Styela clava: one gene and its partners. The protein of the gene in region 1 interacts with the protein of each later gene in a biochemical or structural test. Links are inferred from orthologs where the notes say so. Each region holds a gene or a part of one and is shown in the gene's direction. Other genes may lie near its edges.

Evidence for each region.
Region 2: of the proteins of tyrosine-protein phosphatase non-receptor type 11-like (region 1) and parafibromin-like, one has a biochemical effect on the other in vitro, tested with the Homo sapiens proteins (2 studies listed by BioGRID and IntAct). The link is inferred for Styela clava from reciprocal best matches to the Homo sapiens genes PTPN11 and CDC73.
Region 3: the proteins of tyrosine-protein phosphatase non-receptor type 11-like (region 1) and caveolin-1-like form a complex in vitro, tested with the Homo sapiens proteins (2 studies listed by BioGRID). The link is inferred for Styela clava from reciprocal best matches to the Homo sapiens genes PTPN11 and CAV1.

The regions. Positions count from the first base shown.
Region 1 is NC_135256.1:10,913,320-10,920,280, forward strand, and holds the start of tyrosine-protein phosphatase non-receptor type 11-like, read left to right. Parts: upstream 1-3,861; 5' UTR 3,862-4,088; intron 4,089-6,961. Other genes in the region: plastin-2-like, read left to right, coding at 865-1,015. UniProt on the Homo sapiens protein: Acts downstream of various receptor and cytoplasmic protein tyrosine kinases to participate in the signal transduction from the cell surface to the nucleus. Positively regulates MAPK signal transduction pathway. Dephosphorylates GAB1, ARHGAP35 and EGFR.
Region 2 is NC_135254.1:14,448,100-14,456,195, forward strand, and holds the start of parafibromin-like, read left to right. Parts: upstream 1-5,014; 5' UTR 5,015-5,084; coding exon 5,085-5,215; intron 5,216-7,325; coding exon 7,326-7,501; intron 7,502-7,866; coding exon 7,867-8,039; intron 8,040-8,096. Other genes in the region: parafibromin-like, read left to right, coding at 63-218.
Region 3 is NC_135258.1:20,350,404-20,358,237, reverse strand, and holds caveolin-1-like, read left to right. Parts: upstream 1-5,006; 5' UTR 5,007-5,065; coding exon 5,066-5,383; intron 5,384-5,974; coding exon 5,975-6,199; intron 6,200-6,630; coding exon 6,631-6,750; 3' UTR 6,751-7,252; downstream 7,253-7,834. Other genes in the region: caveolin-3-like, read left to right, coding at 1,424-1,687, 2,072-2,416. UniProt on the Homo sapiens protein: May act as a scaffolding protein within caveolar membranes. Forms a stable heterooligomeric complex with CAV2 that targets to lipid rafts and drives caveolae formation. Mediates the recruitment of CAVIN proteins (CAVIN1/2/3/4) to the caveolae.

The DNA.
Region 1 (6,961 bases):
GGGAAATTTCATCTAGAAAATTCCGCCATTTGAAATTTCATTCCACTCTACTAAATTAAACTCGAACCTCCAAGGTGCTTTTAGTTTCGTAGCAGGAATTTTCAAGGAAAAAATTTAATATAGCATATAGCCATATACTGTACTGTACTATATACTTTTTTTCCGGCATTTTTACTTCTTATAATGGCCTTGACCCTATCAGTAAGATTTGAAATAGATTTGTTGTTGATTAATTGTGTGTAATGATGTTACAAGTTTTAGATCACCAGTTTTGAAACACATTTTAACTGTAATTGGGTACTAAAGTTTTAGTTTGAATATGGTAATTTCCCCTTTCAACTCCTAGTTTTAGTTGGTTATAAACAAGATTGCTAATTGGATTGTCGGACATGAAGTGGACCAATGGACCGTTTTGTCATATTGTATTTTTCTTGTTGTTGTTGTGGAAAAATCACTTTTCTCAATAACTGATGGACCAATTGCTTTGAAATTTCCAGTGGTTAAGATTAAGGATAATGTTGTCGCTAGAATATTACTTTTATTTATTTCCCAAATTACTGTGGGCTCTATGGATTTGTGTTTGTGCGGAGACGTCATTAAAATTGAAACAAAACGCACCATGTCAAGGTTCCATGATCGCATTTTAGCATCTCGTGGTCAAACTGTCTGTGCTGTAAAATATTTTATGCTTCTTCGTTTTGGCCTTCGTACCTTACAGATAGAGTCACTTAAGGTTTTTTCATATTTTTTTGGGCTGTAAAAATTGCATTAAACTATGAAAGCCACTGATCCTAGTTGAAAATCTAATCTCTGATGTTTTGTACTTACAAACAACCTTAATTGCATTTTCCATTTTGTTTTTAGATACGCTATTTCCATGGGCCGTAAAATTGGAGCTAAAATTTATGCTTTGCCTGATGATTTGTGGGAAGTAAACCAGAAGATGGTAATGACAATATTTGCTTGCCTTATGGTCCGAGCTTTGCAGCTGAAAAGTGAGGAGGGGGAAAATTGAGGACTCGAAATTTAAGACTTTCTTATTGAAGTTTTGAAGATGTGCATTCCAACAATTGTGTCAATAATTCTGTCCTTATGCAAATTTCAAGAATGTAACATCAAGTCATCAAACATTACTTTAATGTAGAGCAGCAGGTCCAGAATTCAAATTATTTTCAGTATGTTTGCTCGCATTTTTTTTTCAATAATGATTAACAGTAACATTTTCACATATTATGACAATTTTATTAAATACGTCATTGCACATTCATTTGGTTTATATCTTTCACTTTCATTTCATGCACTTGGTATTTTAGTTAATCTGGCTCTTGCTTTCACACACACACTATACTATCATATTAAAATTACACCAGAATTTAGTCCTATAACAGTAATTATCTGGCATTTTTTGGCATTAAAATCTGTTGGTAAAACTTGGCACTTATTCAAACTGTACATAAAGTAGTATCATTATACCTTGGATATATTTTAATATTAAACATAATGTTATACCGTATATAATGTACTCAGAAAATTTTTCAAAGATGAGGATTTAACCCTGTTATAACATGTATCTTAATGAAGCATTATCTTTTTTTTTTTGTAAAAATCGTTTCTGGCCACCAGGTTTATGTTGTATCCATGACTAATCCAAGTCCCGAGTATTACACATCATTTTCTGTTTGTCGCATTCACTCACTACATTCCAATCTCAGCACGGTAGGATAGGCTTTTGTTACTGCTAATATTATATGTTTTGTGTGACCAAAAAATACAATATCATACCGTTACTTTTTTCAAATATTTTATTCAAATTTTTTATCAGGATTTTTTTAGTGCAATGGTGAAATTTGAAATTAAAATCACATATTAAACTTTTTTTGGCCACTGGATTCTTTTAGAGCAATGGTAAATTTGAAATTAAAAGCACGCATTGAAATTATTTTGGCCACTCTTATTTCTATGTAGCGTACTATGCTGTAACTATCTGTCCAAATAGCAATTAAAACTTATTTTGTGAATTTATGAATAATGGTTTGTGGGATTCAGTATTAGACAATTATGCTACTACACCGAATTATGCCTTTATTACCGATTCACAATCCACAATATTAGCAATAACAATAATGCATTTTTCATATTATTCTGTTGCATCATTCCAAGTCGCTTGTAAGTTTGTTTTCACTAAAAATGCAATTTCGGTTGAGTTCAATTATTTTTGGTAAATAATTTTCGTTGAATGTTTTGATTCACGAAGTCTAATTTTGTCACTTTCAAATGAGTTTCTTGTTTAAATCGGCAAAAAGTTTTGTTAAAGTGCATTTCCTATGCAGTAAAGCTCGCTATTTAGTTTTTCACCAAATCTAATGCTCGTTAAACCACATTTTCAAATTTTAATACAAGGAGTGTGTGTGATATTGATATCAGCTATTATATACTATAACACTAATCATCCAGTTATAAATGTGTGTCATGATTCTTTATGAATTTATAGGATTACTGGGTATGGTTGAGGATATTAAATTCTCTGGTGGGTTGATGAAGCGCTGATCGAGTAAATTTTGTTTATGTAAAGATGTTCTGGTTCATAACCGTTGCAAATTGGATTTTCTTTTATGGTTTAAAAATTTGCCAATGATTAAAAAGGGGGTATTTGCACCTTTCCAGGCCATTTAGAACTAATATCTGATAAAATATTGCCATACCTTATTTAGAATGGAGAACGAACAAAAACTGTGATCTGTCGAATGGTAAACCCATGTTACCAGTCAAGATAAATGTGAAAATTTAGCTAGGCACAACCAATGTTAGGGAGGCTAAAGTCCTTGATTGGACCAGAATCGTCATTTGTCAAAGACTCGTCATCTAAATGGGAAAATTCAGATTCGTCATCTACCAACTACTAGACTCTGATTGCCCGTGAGTCGACTCTGGATTTATGGACTTGTACACAGCCAATTTATATACACTAGGACCTAGGTTACAATAAAAATCAAGTCAAGCTCTTTTCTCATAATCTGTTAATGAATGATCAAGAGCAGGAAACGAAACAATGTAACTAGAATGATCAGTTGTTCCTGTGTACACTGAAAAGGGAGTAGCAATTATATTTCTCTGCTATACGAATACGTAGTATTTTCGAACGAATTAATTATGAAATAACCATGAGAGCCATTCCATCTTTAGTACTGAATACCTGAAATCGGTTGGTTGGTCCATTAGTTGTGGAGGAATGCGATTTTTCCCAACAGCAAGGTTTAGCAACACAATATCAACGATCATCCGATGGAAACTGACTTCAAAATCAGCATTGCTGAGAGCGAATTTTAAGGAAACCGGTGTTACCAACAGGAGTGGCGGGTGTTCATTAACTCACCCTTGTCTACCACATAAATATATTGACCCGACGTCCTAACAACGATATAGCTACACGCGCACATTAGATAAAACTCTACCATTGAAAAAGAGCAAATATATTTGAAAGTAAGAGTTAAATAATGTTAGGATAGGATAGGATTTACATATTTATCCCGGGGGAGAGGAAAGCCGATAAGACGGCTTATCCATATGGCGAACCACGGCCTCTCGTCCGGTTACCATTCCTAGTCGGGTATGGGATTAGTTTTTTACTGTATTGTATATTTTCGGAAGCATGAACTTGGTGGTGGAGGAAGCCGTAACCGACCAGCGGTTACGTGAACCACCCAACGACGGCGAGGAGTCCAGCAATCCTCTCGCACATAACCATCCCTGCATGGGATTCGAACCTGCGAACCCACGCAGAGTAATTAGAGGTGCGGTGGCGAGCGTATTCCTAACGCTTAGCCCGTTGAGCCACACCGCCGCCGCGCCATGTTCGACTCCGACTCCCGGTTGACGGAGGTTTCGACTCCCGAGTAAATTAAATTTTGATGAAAACTTTTTCAGGAGACTGTTTGGAACGTTTAATAAACTTTTTTATGGTTGAAATTTACTTCTGAATGTCTGAAACTTCGATTTCAAGGCCGACTGCTGACAACATAATTTAAAATAAATGCTCCGGAGTCCCCGACTTGAATCCGGAGTCCCTCACTCACGTAAGATTGGCTGTTTACAGTACTAAACACCACTGTCATGCTAGCCAAATACCAGCCAAATATCAAACTCATATTCCCGAATTTCATATTAAAGTGTTTCCTGGTCTAACAAAATGTACTTTCTGACTTTCTACGAAAACTAATACTTTGGGACATCACGCTATCGGAGGATTTATATTCAGATGATGATTTGGGAATATTACTGTCTCTTATTATAATGATATGATATGGAAATATTGAATATTTGAAAAAAAAGTTCAATTATGTGAAAATTGAATTTTTTCATTAAAAATAGAATTATTTCAAATCTTTCCGGTCTCGAGGGCAAAGATTTGAATATACCATTGGATAGGGGACTAACATAAGAACATATTCCAACAAAAAAATTGTGGTGACACCCGACGAGTTTTCGAACTTTTTGAGGTTCGAAAATGTTCAAGTATGAAAAAATTTTACTTTTTCACAAAATATCGAATTATTTCGAATCTTTCCGGTCTCGGGGGCAAAGATTTGAATATACCATTAGATAGAAGACTAACATAGGAACATATTCCAACAAAAAAATTGTGGTCACACCCGACGAGTTTTCGAACTTTTTGAGGTTCGAAACTGTTCAAATACACAAAAATTGAACTTTTTCATAAAAAATCGAATTATTTCGAATCTTTCCGGTCTCGGGGGCAAAGATTTGAATATACCATTAGATAGAAGACTATCATAGGAACATATTCCAACAAAAAAATTGTGGTGACACCCGACGAGTTTTCGAACTTTTTGAGGTTCGAAACTGTTCAAATACACAAAAATTGAACTTTTTCATAAAAAATCGATTTATTTCGAATCTTTCCGGTCTCGGGGGCAAAGATTTGAATATACCATTGGATAGAAGACTAATATAGAAACATATTCCAACAAAAAAATTGTGGTGACATCCGACGAGTTTTCGAACTTTTTGATATTTTTTTGTTGGAATATGTTCCTATATTAGTCTTCTATTCAATGGTATATTCAAATCTTTGCCCCCAAGACCGGAAAGATTCGGAATAATTCGATATTTCATGAAAAAGTTCAATTTTTGTGTAATTGAACATTTTCGAACCTCAAAAAGTTCGAAAACTCGTCAGATGTCACCACAATTTTTTTGTTGGAATATGTTCCTATATTAGTCTTCTATCCAATGGTATATTCAAATCTTTGCCCCCAAGACCGGAAAGATTCGAAATAATTTGATTTTTTGTGGAAAAGTTCAATTTTCGCATACTTGAACATTTTCGAACCTCAAAAAGTTCGGAAACTCGTCGGATGTCACCACATTTTTTTTGTTGGAATGTGTTCCTATGTTAGTCATCTACCCAATGGTATATTCAAATCTTTGCCCCCAGGACCGGAAAAATTTGGAATAATTCGATTTTTCATGAAAAAGTTCAATTTTTGTGTATTTGAACATTTTCGAACCTCAAAAAGTTCGAAAACTCTTCGGATGACACTACAATTTTTTTGTTGAAATATATTTTTATGTTAGTCCCCTATCCAATGGTATATTCAAATCTTTGCCCCCAAGACCGGAAAGATTTGAAATAATTCGATTTTTCCTGAAAAAGTTCAATTTTTGTGTATTTGAATATTTTCGAACCTCAAAAAGTTCGAAAACTCGTAGGATGTCACCCTTTTTATTTGTTGGAATATGTTCCTATGTTAGTCCTCTATCCAATGGTATATTCAAATCTTTGCCCCCGAAACCGGAAAGATTCGAAATATTTCGATATTTTGTGAAAAAGTTCAATTTTTTCATACTTGTACATTTTCGAACCTCAAAAAGTTCGAAAACTCGTCGGATGTCACCACAATTTTTTTGTTGCAATATGTTCCTATGTTAGTCTTCTATCCAATGGTATATTCAAATCTTTGCCCCCGAGACCGGAAAGATTCGAAATAATTCGATTTTTTTATGAAAAAGTTCAATTTTTGTGTATTTGAACAGTTTCGAACCTCAAAAAGTTCGAAAACTCTTTGGATGTCACTACAATTTTTTTGTTGGAATATGTTTCTATATTAGTCTTCTTTTCAATGGTATATTCAAATCTTTGCCCCCAAGACCGGAAAGATTCGAAATAATTCGATATTTTATTAAAAAGTTCAATTTTTGTGTAATTGAACATTTTCGAACCTCAAAAAGTTCGAAAACTCGTCAGATGTCACCACAATTTTTTTGTTGGAATATGTTCCTATATTAGTCTTCTATCCAATGGTATATTCAAATCTTTGCCCCCAAGACCGGAAAGATTCGAAATGATTTGATTTTTTGTGGAAAAGTTCAATTTTCGCATACTTGAACATTTTCGAACCTCAGAAAGTTCGGAAACTCGTCGGATGTCACCACATTTTTTTTGTTGGAATGTGTTCCTATATTAGTCATCTACCCAATGGTATATTCAAATCTTTGCCCCCAGGACCGGAAAATTTTGGAATAATTCGATTTTTCATGAAAAAGTTCAATTTTTGTGTATTTGAACATTTTCGAACCTCAAAAAGTTCGAAAACTCTTCGGATGACACTACAATTTTTTTGTTGAAATATATTTTTATGTTAGTCCTCTATCCAATGGTATATTCAAATCTTTGCCCCCAAGACCGGAAAGATTCGAAATAATTCGATTTTTCCTGAAAAAGTTCAATTTTTGTGTATTTGAATATTTTCGAACCTCAAAAAGTTCGAAAACTCGTGGGATGTCACTTCAATTTTTTCGTTGGAATAAGTTCTATTAGTAGTCTTTTATCCAGTGGTGTTTTCGAATCTTTCCCCTGTGACCGAAAATATTCGAAATAGTCAAATATTTCGTATAAAATCACGGCCACACTTCGATATGACATTCGGTACAACTTTTTCAA
Region 2 (8,096 bases), on another chromosome or scaffold:
TTTACAAAGGCTAACAGTATCAAATGCGTTTGACTGATCTTGATTATAATTCTTCTGTACAGCAAAGACTTGTTGAAAAACTTGAAGCAAGAGGTAGTGACAAAACTGTAACTACAGAACAAATTAAGTCTCTTACCGACGTGATATCAGTGGAAAAAATTGCTGCAATCAAAGCTAAAATTATGATGAGGAAAAGAAACTATCATTCAAGTCAGTGAACTAGAAGAGGTATTTGGTTAGTTTATTTATCTTTAAATTACAACGCCTTTAGTTTATTGGGACTTGTTTTGGATAAAAAATTTTGTATGATATTGAATAGTTGTATATCAGTATTTTACCTCAAATCCTCTTTGTTGACGTATGCAGTTATTAATTGCACTTGATTCATACCGATAGCTTATTGCTATTAGTTATCTTTATTGTAATTCATGAATCAGTTAGTCATACTTTGTTATGTTAGCAGTTGAGGCATTATAGGCAGCTGTGATGTCATCGCAGGTTACACAACTAACATTGTATTACTGCTCTGCTCTACATTATTGATCTGATCTACACTTTTTCTTTAAATTCTAGTCTTATTTGTAGTTTTTGTTTGTGAAATAGGCGCTTCATGGCTGTATTTTTTGTTTCATTATATTATACAAATATGTTATACTTCAACAATACCTGGGTCATGTGCTAGAGCATTATCTACTTTTGTCTAGCTATTGATAATGTAAACGGATTTTCAGTGGAAACCTTGATAAAGTTGGCGATATGTGAAAAAGATTCATTTCTCCTCAACTTTTTTCTATTCTTTTTTGTATGCCGTATTTATGCACCATTTGCACTAAACAAGGCTATACACAATGAGCCACTACTAAATAAGGGACAACTATAGTTAGAAACGGCCTGAATTTTTATGGTTTGTCATCGTCTAACTAATTTTGTACACCTAAGATTTTAACCTGCAATGCGATGCCATGGTTAAGTCTAACACTTTAACCACTAGGCCAGCGCGCCACCAAAAACAACATACCATTTTCAATCTGCATGATCAAATATACATTGAATTTTCAGGAGTCACAGCTCAAGATGGAGGATTTGCAGAAAAACCAGAATCTTTTGACTTGACGTCTGAAATTGTATCAAGGGAAAGAAGATGAAGAAGGTCAGGCCATAAATCCAGGTACAAATAATACGGGAGTCACTTGGCTAGTCCCCGAACTTGTGATTGAACTGAAATAAAGACAATTTGGATAAAATTATGGCCTAGCCTGGTACACATATTACGTTCCAGTGTCCGCCATCTTTTTTCACATATAGCTCCCTTTGATAGCTCCCAGATTTGCATGCAGTGATGCTAGAACGACTGTTCAGGAGCGATTCAAGTTACGGTAAATACTTCAAGGGTGAAAAGATTAAAATAAATACTTGATCTCAGAGAAGTCATACGTGTACCTTCTTGCATGAAGCAATTTCAAACTAAGAGCAAATGAAGAAATTGAATATGGATTTATGCATAAAATATCCAAGTTATATAATATTATTCCTTTATTTGAATTATTTTCACAGAATCACAGTGTTATACTTTTTTAGGTTTCTGGAGCCGTGCTTCCGTTTCAAATCTTCCTTACAGTTACACTTTCTCATTCTTTAAAGGCGTTGAAATTCGGTTAAAAATTTAAAAATTACGATTTCAAATTCTAGCATTTCATTAGGCTATATATATATATCGACTTGGTCAATTGATTATTTGATTATACAATAATTTTGATTTTGGATAATTTTTATTTTTTGTACTTAAGCGACGGATTTTAAAATCATTCGTTTTGATTGGCTGTCTAATACTGAACTTACAAATAGCACGCCTACTGCTTTCAAATTTTTTTCTTGAACACTGTTTCCCTCCACCATCTTTCTCACAAAGACTTCTTGTGATTGTTACGCTTTCATTTTTTGTGTTTTTTCTTTATAGCCTCTTTCGAGTTGTGGTAAAATTTGGCAGAGAATATGGTTTATTACACACTTAAGGAGTTATTTGTAAGCACAAACATTTCGATTTAATTTTGGCAAAAATATTGCAGCCTACTTCAGGGGTCTCTAACACGCAGCCCTGAAAGCAATTTTTTGCGGCCTGCGCCGTCGTTGAGATTTTTCCAGAAAAAAACTAAAATAGGACAATGTCAACTATGAGTTTTATCGTATTCATATTTATTCTATTGTAATAATTAAATGGTTAATTCAATAATTTTCATTTCGTTTTTATTATGACGAAATAAATAAGTTTCGGTCAGATCATTGAAGTGTGTATTTATGAATGATTAATTCTGCATATGCGCAGTTAACGCAAAACTAGATTAAGACCAACATTTTTAATAAAGTAGTAAACCCATAGGCAATTTCTAATAAGCGTAAATGTTCGGAAGAGCACAGAATAATTTAAGAGAATTGGGAGAATCTGTATTTTGTGTGAAATTATAACAAGGTTCGGTGTCTCATCTGTTGTGCAATTATTGCTGTTTGAAAATAATACAACATTCGACGACTATACGGCTCATTACACAGGGAAAAATACCATGTGTATACTGGAACAATTCGTCACGAAAAGGTACGGCAATTAAAATTTTCACTGATGAAACAGAAATTTTTTCTCTACAAACAAAACGTGTGAAGATTCGGTGAAAGTTTGCTTTGCCATAAGTGAGATGATTGCGAAATCGTCTCGTCCTTTGGTTGAAGGAAATCGGCCTTTTGCATACGACTATAGCAAACCAACACAATATAAGCCCAACGTCGAGTCTCTCGGCGCTACAAACAAAATATCCAGTAGGACTACAAGTAATGAATATGCTTCATGTCTGGTTTGGTGTAAGATTCAAGTGTAATTTCAACAAATATCTTCAGATTTCTTTCGTATATCAATTTTGGGACCTCCTGAAGTATGCGCACGAAGATGGCGCACAACCTGAACTCAGGTTAGTGTTCAGGTTATGCGACATTTTCACCATTTTCTGATTCTTATATATCAGAGAGAGAGTGATGCCTAACGCTTAGTACGATGCGCCACACCATCGAGATCTCTTGTTATGCTTCGTAGTAGGCTACATTAACTCAGGGACCAAATGTATTATATAAAAGCACGCCACGGTTTTTATTAAGATAGTGGGAGAGACAAGGATAACAGAATATATTCGTAAGATATTGTAGCGTTATGACGATCAAGTTGGCAATAATATTGTCACGGTAGAAGTTGTTGCTACAGTGGTTGAAGATGAATCAGAAGACTCAAGGGTTCCGGATTGGTTGTTTATTGTATGGCAACTTCGCAATATAAACTTAACAAAAGAACGCAACCGACCTCCAGCACGACGGTCGGAGAAGGAAAGCGGAAGACACAGTTTTTCTCCTAATTATGTGTAATGAGTGGTCGGAGTCCAAATCCGACAAAACAAGGGTCAACATAACTGTTTATAAACACAAAATATATATACCACTGATATACACACACAATATCTATATGCTCATTGACATATGCTTCCTCCACCACCAAGTCCATGCTTCCGAAAACAAACAATACAGTAAAAACTAATCCCATACCAGACTTGGAATGGTAACCGGACGAGAGGCCGTGGTTCGCCATATGGATAAGCCGTCTTATCGGCTTTCCTCTCCCCCGGGATAAATATGTAAATCCTATCCTAAATCCTATCCTATATGTTAATTGTGTGCTGTGTGTATTGATACTGAGGTAGGTATTTGAATATATTAGTTATAAATGGTGTGAGCAAGGACAAAAGAATTTTTTCCACAGGATTCCTTCAGAATGTGAGATTTATCATAATCAGTCGATAATGGCGATGTAGCCTGAAAAACAAGAAAACAATCTGCGAGTAGGTGTTTAAATGAATGATTATCTGGAAACATGGTGTCCTCTTATTTATTTAGAGATGAATGAAAATGTTACCACCGGATTCTGTGTTCAACCTGTTCACTGCACTGTATTTCCAAAAAATATGCAATTATTGTTTTGTGGCAATGCCAATAAATCTCTCTCCCAGCTGCAAAGAGTATGTTGGCTCAAAGCGTATATATATAATGGACCTTTCCCCAACCTTTGACCCCCGACAAATTCTTCCTATACTTTACCAAAATTTTCGGGGCTATTTTAAGAGTGCTTTTGCGAAATGCCGCTTGTAAAATGGGGTATGTGTTTCGAACCAGCATTATGATTCATCGCATACAATAATCTGTATTTTTAAAAGTACCGGTAGAGAATTTTAGCCCAGTCTATCACAGCTATTTCTACACTAATATTTCATTACTGCAATTGAATTGAAACTCCCAGGAAGAAGAGTGATCATTGAATTATCTGATTTATATTTAAGTTTCCGAAACACAACTGAAAACTAGCGAATAGAGTTCAGAAACACGAAAACGAGGTAATGTTCACGACCACGTTTGAAAATCTGTCTGAGCGGATGCTAAGAGGGAACATTGTTACGTCACTTTTTGAATCTTGCTGATTAGCCAATGTCCCGAAGTAAAGAAGGAAGTCGATGCTTGGGAAAAGGTCCATACTGGCTGGGTTTCCTCTGTTTTGCATACCGGTAGCCGTCTCCAAGTTTTTTGCGGTATCTCACATTGCTGTCTTGGCTTGTTATTATTAATGCGGTTTTTACCGGTATCTCACATTGCTGTCTTGGCTTGTTATTATTAATGCGGTTTTGTTAAAGTGAATATAGTCACTTTGGTTTTGTTAGAAACGGACATCTGCCAGAATGTACGGTACCGGTCTACCTGAAGTGTTGCTGCGCGAGTGCAAAGTGACTATCGTATCGACTGGACCTAAACACAGAAACAGGATCGGTCGTTGCTGTTTTGCGAGCTTTTTTGTGGTACCGGTACCGTACTTTTCTGGTTTACACTAGTTCAGTAATTACAGAATTAGATACCGCAGTAGACTACGGTACCGTTACCGGTAGGTTTTCACAAATAATAAAGTACGGTACTGTTTGCACTTGTAAGACTTGTAGTAACTTTTATGTCAATTTGTTAGAGAGTTTAGTTAGTTACGGTAACTGTTTAATTAGTTAACTGTCAAAATGGCGGATGCACTCAGCCTTCTACGAGAGTACAATATGGCGAAGAAGAAGATTGAAGAACATGATGGCTATATCACGTTCGGAGACTTCTCATGGCCCAAAAATATAAAAACTAATTATCCAATTTGGGGGTGAGTGACTTGTTTATGATTTTTCAATATTCTGCATAATAAATTTCAAAATGCTTGATTGATTAGTTTAATTTTGTATTTTATTAATCTCTAATGTTAAAATTCCATGTACATTTATTGGAGCTCGAAACTATATTATATATACTTATAAATTGTTGTTCATGAATTTCTTTTTTCAATTCCTTTTCAATTATTTTATTTTCACGAGAGTGTTTAATGGTGTATTGCAGGGGTCGGCAACCTTTTGAACTCCGCGTGCCATTTTATGAATAATGAGCACCTTCGCGTGCCAAACATTTTTATGTGTTTGGTTTGCATAATCAACTACCTGATTTGAATAGTCGGAATCGGCTCAATTATTATTATTTATCGCCTCAAAATCCCTGCGGCTTTTTCGACGGATAATATATAATGATTTTTCTGTTGTGCAAAGCAATCAATCCATGACCGATACGGCCATATTTATAATGTCATGCTATATTATAATTTACTCGTATTCAATTTAACCTGCAGTTGCGTCGACAATATAAACGCATTCGCATCACTACCCTAAAATACCACATCAATCCGCGGACATAAAAATGTGTGGTAAACTTCCTGGTTATATCTAGTTTTGATCCGTATTTTACCAATTTTGCGAATTCGACAAATCTGAGCTGTACTTGCAAAAATGACTCCGTTCTATCGCAATGCTGCCACTCAGATTTTGTTTTTGATGATGAAACCGTTAGAAAAATCCCTAAATCTGCTATAAAAGCTCACAGAGTAAAATTTATTTTGGTACAATAAAAATTGATTGAATATACTTTAATTAATTATCTTATATCTCAACACGACTCGATCGGGAAAAAGTCACGTTTCCAACCTTATAATATGAAATGTATAATATTAACACGAAAATTCCCGACGGCAATTTAAAGTAATTGATAAAAAGGTAAATCCGCGCAACATTTAACCGTGTTTCTATTCTAATGGCCGCTCAAACTTATGTGTGCAATAGGCACACGAAATTTTACAATGCCTAAAGAAGCAGTTTTAATCTGTCACGGGCCTCGTACAACAAATTATTTACGGTTCTATTTTTAGTATTTTATATTGCCGCTTTTCAATAAAAAAATTTGCGTCGCTGCTCCACTCCTTTTAGACTTAAAGCAACTCGCTGCCGATTATTGTATAATAACTCTCAGCCAATTCACAATTCTGGGCGAATACAAAAATAAAATAGTTATTATCGTTGACGTGAAATACTTTTTGTGATTCTGGGAGAATAAACACCGACTTAAAAGTGTTTACGGTCAGAATAACACGTCACGCTGACAAAAATAATTGGCGATTTTAGCAAAAAGCTGTACGAATCGCCCAAAAGTATGAATTGATGAAATAATATTCAATATTTCACGATTATCAAAGGGCAAAAAGTAACCCAACAATAGTATAAAAAGTTGCTAGTAGGTGAACGAGTAGTTTCAGGTAGCGAAGCGTTTCTGAAGTAGCCAAATCTGGCACCGCTGCACCGCATATGCTTATCTACACTGAATTCCCGTACAGATTTAGGCCTCTGATCCATCGCTTTTCCGAAAGTAACGAAAAGTGGCAACAATTTCGGCAGTTTAACATCACATGTTTTTTCAAAGGATTTGTCGAATTGTTAATTTTTGTTCAAATGTAGAATTTTGGTCGAACTACTAAAATAAATATCTGATCTGCATCAAATCACTTGGCGTGCAATGAGAAATCCTCTCACGTGCCAGGGGTTGCCGACCCCTGGTGTATTGCTTGCATCATTCATTTCCATACTTCATTGATCTGCATAACTGACGCTTTTAGGCATATGTTTTTTATACTCATATAGAATAAGTAGCCGTAAAATATGAATATATTATGAAGAATGTCTACTATTTCTTCTAAAAATGACATTTATTCACATGATTGTCTCATTATTTTAATAGCATTGTTAATTTTTAGTAAGAAAAGTATGCTTCAATTATTGCATATCAGAGTGGGGATAGCTATTTATCATATATTAGTTGTGTATTATTAAATTCTCATTTTGTATTCTATTGGCAATATACAAATTCTCAAAATTTCTCATTATTTTCTGCCTTATCAGAACTGGTAAGGATGGAAATGCAAAGGAATATTACACTTTGGACTCAATCCTCTTTCTTCTGAAGAATATTAAATTGTCACATCCCCTGTACGTACGTCATGCTGCTGCAGAAGATATTCCTGTTGTCCGAAGACCAGACAGAAAAGATCTTCTCAGTTACCTGGATGGAGAAATTTGTAATTGTTATTTTTTCACATTATCTATCGGTTTGAAAAAAAAAAATTCCAGGAATATTCATACATAACAATTCAATTTTTGCTGCTAGTCAAAATTATTTAAATCGTCTTAATTCGTAGATTGATTACGCTCAGTAAAACCTTTGGTTCTGATATGAATAAGCCATCTTATCGACTTTCCTCACTCTGGGATAGATGTGATAATTCTATGCTTTTACATTATGGGATGTTACAATGTTAATATATCTATTATGAATAATCTAACATTCATTAAGATCTGAGACATCCTCAATGCTTAAAAAACCTAATTTTGTTATTATTCATCTCAAAACTTCTTTATAACTATACTCTCTGGTTATTTCTAGCTACATCAAATAATATCGATAAAAGTGCACCTTTGGAAATCACAATGCAGAGACCGAGCAAAGTAAAACGACCAGTTGCAAGTAGCGCTGGTACGACGGATGATGGGTCAAGTCAAGAACCCGGAGCGAAGCGTGCAAGAACAGAAGACGCAACTAAAATAATAAGAGATAGGGTATGTTTTCACAGCGTATTTCATTAACTTCCTTATTTACTCATTACTTTGCTATTT
Region 3 (7,834 bases), on another chromosome or scaffold:
TTTCAAGTCTAAAAAATTAAGAAATACTTACAATCATCAAGAATAGACTCACCAATGCCAGTAAATATATTTTGTTGAGGGATCAATATAATTCTAGATATATCTTTGGTAAATCTGGATAATTGTGGACAAAATGGCAATCCTTGACGTATTGAACCAGACATTAGTCATATAGTGAGATAGAGAACGTTCTATTTATTAGATCAAATCTGCATTGAAATGTTAAAAAAGGAGACAATGAAGCTATTAACAAGCTTGGTCGAATGTCTTTCAATGTCGAAGTAAAAACTTCGTGTACGTATTTGTTAATATCGTTTAGTTTTGATTGGTTGCTGTACAATAAATGAAACGAGGAATCCAACTAACTCCCATGTTTATGAAAGGGTTGATCCGGCCCTGAATACATGCTCTGATTTCTTTTTTTATTTAGAAATTTTCAATTTGTTTCTCTCGCAAATCCGAGTAAAATTACTTGAGACAGTGTCACATTACCTAATGATGTTTTTATCATAACAAGTAGGCTATGTATCTTTCAAAATGATAGCAGTCTCTATCTATATATCGTCCCTTTGGGATTATACAAACTTCGAAGCGTGTCTCTTGTTTTGGTCTACCGCCGGTGAAATAGCCGAGTTGGGTCTGCGATGGAATGTGCGCACTACGAGCAAAAACGAAAAATTGCCTTTCTATGTCAATATAGTTTCAGTGTTAACAGCGGAACATTTGAATTTGGGCTTGGGTTGTGATTATTTATTTATTCTTGACTGTGAAAATGTGAATAAACCCCAAACTAAACGTACCCTGTCATTGTGGCATCATTTCGCTTGATTCGCGAGTTTCCTCACATGAGGACGTTTCCCTATTTCCTTGTGAAAAATAAAGCGTTTTACATTTAAAGGATGAGTCGAGTAAAAGAAGTAAACACAGACAGTACAAAGCATTGTTTATCCACTGTGGTCATTCAATTATAAAGTCTAAAATTATCAGATCTTGTACATAACTACTCTATGGACAATCTCCACCTACAATCAAGCATCCAAAGTCAACAGTTTTCAATGTGAACAGATAGCTTGAGACAAATTGTCTGTCGGAGTGATCGACACCTTTGTTGATGGTGGAATTAGCCCATCAATGTTAACAATACATAAATACTGCTGTATGGAAAAGCAATGTCGCCTCTAAAGAAGTGTCAAATGCGTGCAGATCTCATCAACGCCGACTATCGTTTTTGTTTCTTTAATATATTTACCACCCATTCGAGGAGCTAACCAGTTGCCTCTGCGTCATATTAAAACAAGAAGTCCTGAGGGAAAAAGCATTCACTTTGAATCAAGACATCAGCAACGGGAGAGTAAGCCGGTTAGAAAGCAATAAGTCAATGCAAGAAAGTTTTGTTCGGTAAGTATAACATCTTGAATACAGAATGGATTCCGCTGGAGATGCTCCTATTGTCAGAAGAAGTCCAGTTGAAGACCCGGCCCAAATCAAAGATAACGAATCAGCCAAAGCTGAATCTTTGCAAGGGTCTTTAGCAAAGTTGTCAATGGCCGAAAATGGAGACGAGGTTGTTATTGAAACCGAACCAGTACAAAAGAAAAAGAAAGGTTTAAAAGGTTTGCATTTGCCGGTTAGAGCATTTAAATCCAGAGAAGATAGAGATCCAGAAAGAGTCAATGAAGAATTAAAGGTAATACTATTCTTCTCGCTTATTCACATATCCAATCGTAGTATATAGCCTATTCATTCATTTAATACCTATTGCGCATTTAAAAGCATGAATACCTTTGAGCCTTAATTATCCAAAATCGCATTGTCCCATGATGATGGCAGTAGAATTTTTACACGTATATATCAAAAGAATATTTGGTATCGAAGCGTTTTAATATATCTTCAATTCTCATTCAAAATCGTGAATCTTCGTCGATAAGTACAGTCAAACGAGCCAATTTATCAGTTTTGGCTGGAAAGTCTTTGTAATCAAACACCGCCAATTAAGAAATCACCATTTTGAATATATATAGCCTATACTTTTGCTAATCTAAAATCTAAATATATATACTTTATATTTCAGGTTGGATTCGAAAACATCATAAATGAGCCCGAAGGTTTCTACACTCCCAAGGTATCTTGGCATCTTAGTCATGAAGTTTTTGGTTTCGGCCGAGCATGCTGTTATTCGATCACTACTTTCTTCTGTGGAATTCCTTTTGCTTTTATCTGGGGCATTATCTTCGCTTTTCTTGCTGCTGTGAACGTCTGGATATTTGCTCCATGTAGAAGAGGACACCTCATCAATATGTCATGTCTCAGTGGGTTCTGGTCGGTCTGCATTTCTACCATTTTCGATCCATTCTACAAAAGCTTCGGACTCATCTTCAGCAATTTGCGTGTCCGAACTGAGAAATTTATTGTTTAATTTTTTTATTGTTACATATGATTTGGAAAAAGACTTTGAGAAATTTTTTACATTATAAAATTCTGAAGCTTGTCGCAAACAACATTCACAAATTTTTATCGAGTAATTGAACGTTTCTGTTAGTCTAGCTGAATTCTCATGTCATTTTATTAGAATCAGCAAAATAACCGGGGTTGATATGTGATTTTAATATTATATTTGAAATTATTTTATTTTTATTCTATAACTTTCAGCAGTAACATATTCTTGTATTTTTAATAAAATCATTTACAATATATATATCCGTCAATATAGGATTTTTCTGGCAAAATAAGTGTGTGTCATTTGGGTAAATTAGTCAGATCGATGTGGAAGGAAATGAAGAATCGATGTTCACCCAATGGGCGGTTTAGGATAGTTGAGGTTGCTACAAGCGATTGAGGGCAATTCAAATGTTAGACGGCTGATGGAATGTCATTCTAGTACACATTAACGTTATTCGATGTGGTACAATCAGGAATTATCATATATATATATTATCATTTCTCTTTTACCTATGCTTGTCTAGAGTGTCGTGGCTGTACTTTTCTATTTTGGGCTTGAGATTACTGCTATTCTAAATTGCTGCAGATTGCAGATATTAATTAATGGATAAAATATTCATCCGTATGATTATAATAAAATACCTTTTTTACAATTTTTATTAATTGGGGATATAACTCCTATGGAGTTATCACTTATGAATCAGATAAGACTTTCGTGTTTGGCAAAAGTATGTCAAGTCTCAACAGGACACAATTAATTGAGCGATGAGTTCGTGTGTGTGTTAATCTTCTTGAATGTGCGATGTCGTTGCATCTTTGCTGAAGGATGCAAAATGTAGACGATACAACAAACCGAGCTCGAGTTAATGTTGAGCTTAAACGCTGTCGACAATATCCGATAGAGCCGTGTTATATATACAATATCATTAATAGTGGATTTTAATTAATATTAAATTAAAGCGCGAAAAGAATAAATAATTAATAAATATATTTACTGTGTAAGGGGAACGAATAAAAAAGCACAGCACACGTCACACTAATAGACCTGTGACATTTTACAGAATAGATGGATAGTAGAGTAAGTAGGCTATTTTAGTTCAGTTGATATCCCAATTTATGCCTACATCCCGTATTTTAACATTTTTATTTTGCAGAACTTCATCAAATTCACAGATTCTTATGCATCTGGCATATAGTAGTAAATCTGAGACTGAATTTTATTCATTGCTCAGTTAAAAACTAAATTAATAGATTGCTTTTTATTTATGTAAAATTATAAGTACCCAGTTCGCCGTACATGTATTTCATAAATGGTCATCCCATTCGATTGAATTGATCCAAGATCAAATTAATGTCGGATTAAATACTTTCATAACTTGCCACGCTATTTAGCCTTCTTATCATCTTTTCCGTCTTCCGGGTGGGTGTGAATGATTCGACAGAATGGGCGAATCGCGTTGCATTAGATGCTTCTAGACAATGTTTTTTGAGTTTAGTTTCTATGACAATGACAGCCGATTGCTATTTGGCCCTATATTCGTTCGAAGAAATGCAAGACATGGTAGAAAGTTAGTTGATGTACGAGAAACTCTATAGGTTAAAACATTTGAACCAAGTAGTATCAGATATACTCCAGAGTTTTAAAATTTAATGATCAAATCGTGCACATGCTTTAACGACCGAAAAAGTCTTTATATGGATGTACCATGCAATCATGTAGTTTGTTACTAAAAGGAAAATCCGAATACACTGTGGACCTTTTCCTTTGTTTTATTCGTAAATTTACAATTAACTAAAATCGATCAAATCGGTATTATTATAGCGATCGCCATAATCCTATATTACCCCTAAAAGCATGATTATATCGAATGCGATATTATGATACTATATATGACACAAAAGTGTATTGATTTCGTTCATTCCTATTTGTAGAGATAGTCTTGTCCAGACGTACTCGAGACAGAAAAGATGAAATAATTTGTGAAAATTTCACATTAATTGGCAAGACCTAACAATACAAAGGATAGACAATAGATTAGATACCTCTGCAGGAACAAACAATTTACCGCACCCGATATTTAAATTATTCCATAGGTAAAGTCAAAACTGCTAGCGAAGTAAGATCGCAAATAATCGCAAAAATGTCAAGATCCGAAATTAAGTTTGCTTCTCTTAAGCAGGTTTCGTTCGTTTGCGTATTTTTTTTTCGAAAACTACTTGCTTTGCACTGAACAACATGCTTGATTTCCAGTAATATTTAAAAATAATATAAGACCTTGTCAATGTTTAATGAGTTCAATATGAGGCAGGTTGAATGAATGAATGCAACTAAGTACGATATAAGAGAACATTGGCTATCACAAACGCACAATCTATTGGAGTGAGAAAAGTGGCACTTAAAAGAGAGACCAAAAGATAACATCTCTTCAGCACTCTCACTCTCTCCATGTTATTATAATGCATTAACACACTGATCGTTTTTCCCGAGACGCATCTGCGCAAACGTTTCGACAGCTGACAAGGAGATTCCATCGCCTTGATCGAGTTGCCGGTAATGTCATCAGTGGGTTCGCGTCGATAGCCTCCGTACAATATATAAATACGTTTGTCGGACTAAGACCTCGGAATGGATTCTGGTAACTTGAGTGGTTCCCGTAAATCTTTGGAAAGAAAATCGGAGATAGAAATGATGCCCGTTGATAGTCAAAGATCTGGAGGTGCAGATCCAAACTTCAGTCAAAGATCTGGACCACAATCAATGAACGAAAGCCAAAGATCTGAGGGAGACCCAGTTAGCATGCATATCGATGATGCTGGTATGGAATCCATCGAAATGGATGACGGAGTTAACGTAGATCAGCCAACGTCAAAACAGCCTTCAGAAAAAGCGGATTCTATCGACTACGACAATAGAGATCCCAACAATATTCACGAGGATGTGAAGGTATGTTAAACGCTATCTATATTTAATTATAGATTTTGTTATCAAAGCTCTCATACCAGAGTGGAACTTGGTTATTGAAGGTATTAAAAAGGATTAACTAATGCTGAAATTCAAAATTTATTGACCGTTTATTGGATCGTAAACGTAATTATTCAAAAAATAAAACATTTATGGTTTTATTTTTTCATAATAAGAACAACAAAAAGTTGATTACACGAAAATGACTCCTCATTCTTGTTGTTGTATATATGCAATTTAGGTAATGCTCGACACTATTGTAAAAATAAAATTCTTTTTGGTGAAATTACTGAGATTACTCCTGAGCATTAACTATAGTGGCATGAGATATCGCTTATCTGATCTAGATAATCTTTATTACATTTTATTTCCATGTACGCCATATTGATCGCAATGTCGTTCATAAATGACAATGGAACGTGATAAACTGCAAATATGCGTGCACTAACGATCACTAAACCAAAGTGCTGTATATGCAAACTAAGCTTTATTTGAACTGGCAGCTTTATTTCTTTATAGTACTTTGTTAGCTACTTACATCTTTTAAAAAGACATTTGTTCACTTTTACGAAGGTTAATTTTGCCGACATTATCGCGGAACCATCCGGAGCTCACAGTTTCGAGACTGTATGGGGAACAAGCTACAAGGTCTATTCACTTACAAAATATTGGATCTACCAAGTCATGTCGTTAATTTTTGGAATCCCAATCTCATTATTTTGGGGTATCTACTTCTCGTGTCTCGCTTTCTGCAGCGTATGGTGCATCACGCCATGCATTCGTTCATTCATCATCAAGGTAATATTATTATCCGAACTTGTAGAATTGTTGCAAACATTTTTTCATTTCGTGATAGTATTTCTGAAAATGATGAAAATGTAGTTTTCTTTGATTTGACTATTGCTGAAGTAACATACTGTACTTTAATAAATATGATTATCTTTTATACTAAAGCTTTCATACTAAAATAATATAAATGGGTGTTACACCACAAGCATGACGTAGATTTCAAATATCTATCTGAGGATATTTCGTAACGAATTTATCGTTCTGTGCAACAATAGTTTGCAGTTGAATTGTGAATTTGATATTTTAGTCTGTATTTTCTCTATATCATTATTTAAACCCAGCGTTGCCAAACACGTGACATTGTTACGTTATCACCTGAAAACAATATAAAAATGCATTTTAATCGGTGCTATGATAATATTCTTTTTTATATATTTCAGATTGGTTTCGTTGGAAAATTATGGGGAGCTTGCGTTGGTACAGTATTGGATCCTTGTTTCGAGTCTATTGGCCTGGTTTTGAGTCGAGTCCGAGTTGCAATGACAGTGCGAAAAGAATAATACACATTTTACCCTATATCACAATTTCCTCACAATGTTATATAAATCTTCAATTAGTCATGGAACATTATTTTCTAATAAACCTACGTTTTGATACCTAAACAATATTCAGATTTGATTTGATGAAAGCTATTTCTTTACAAAAAATTCATACTCAATGATTTGCTGAATTTAATCAAATTTTAAAGTTAATTCCCTTCTTAAAACAGTGTCATCATACGTTTACGTTGAATAATCATGTAATTTTCGATAAAACTATTATTAGTATTTTATCAATTTTATATTTTCATACGGTATTTGAATTAAATTAAATTGATATTTGCTAATTTCAAATTACTGATATGGAAACATGACAAGACAACGATTTGAATCTTCAATCCTGCACACCAAATATTGTAGATCGACTTTTTTTATTTCATTCATTCAAGGCACTTTTCCTTTATGTAAACTTACTAAAAATTTATCTTTTCAAATATAAAATTTTTTCAATCTCACATGAAAAGTTGGGAGTTTTTTAGATTTATTGGTATGCTGAAAGAGTAGTATGTAGAATGTTGACGTATCCTATCTCAGTATTCTAGAGTACAACGAAAAAGCAATTAATTTTTATATTCGTGTCTGTGTAGGAATGCATACACAGAGCATCATCAAATTGGGGGGTCAAAAACAGTGAGACTCGAAAATTTTAACACGAGTGAAATAAAAGAAATTTCGAAGGAAATAAGCTGTCAGTAAGATGTCATTCATAATGCAAATATCAAAAGATAGCGTCATATTACCCACAGGGAGCGTGTAGCCGTTGCTAAATACGCTGTGACCCGTGTTTATTGTTATGAGCAAAGCCAATATGGGATATTGAAAGCAGAGTAACTAGACCTCAGATCAGACACGAGCCATACTGGTCTGACGTGGCCTGTCAGATGTTTGAACTTGGCTTGAGGCATGAAAAGACCATGTAAGGGATATATTTCAGACAACGCGCACGTAAAATATATGAATTTAAACCGTGACGACGATGAAAATATCCATACCCATTCTGGTTTGTGTTGTCGTTGATGCATCTAGTGTTGCGCTATCGCATTTG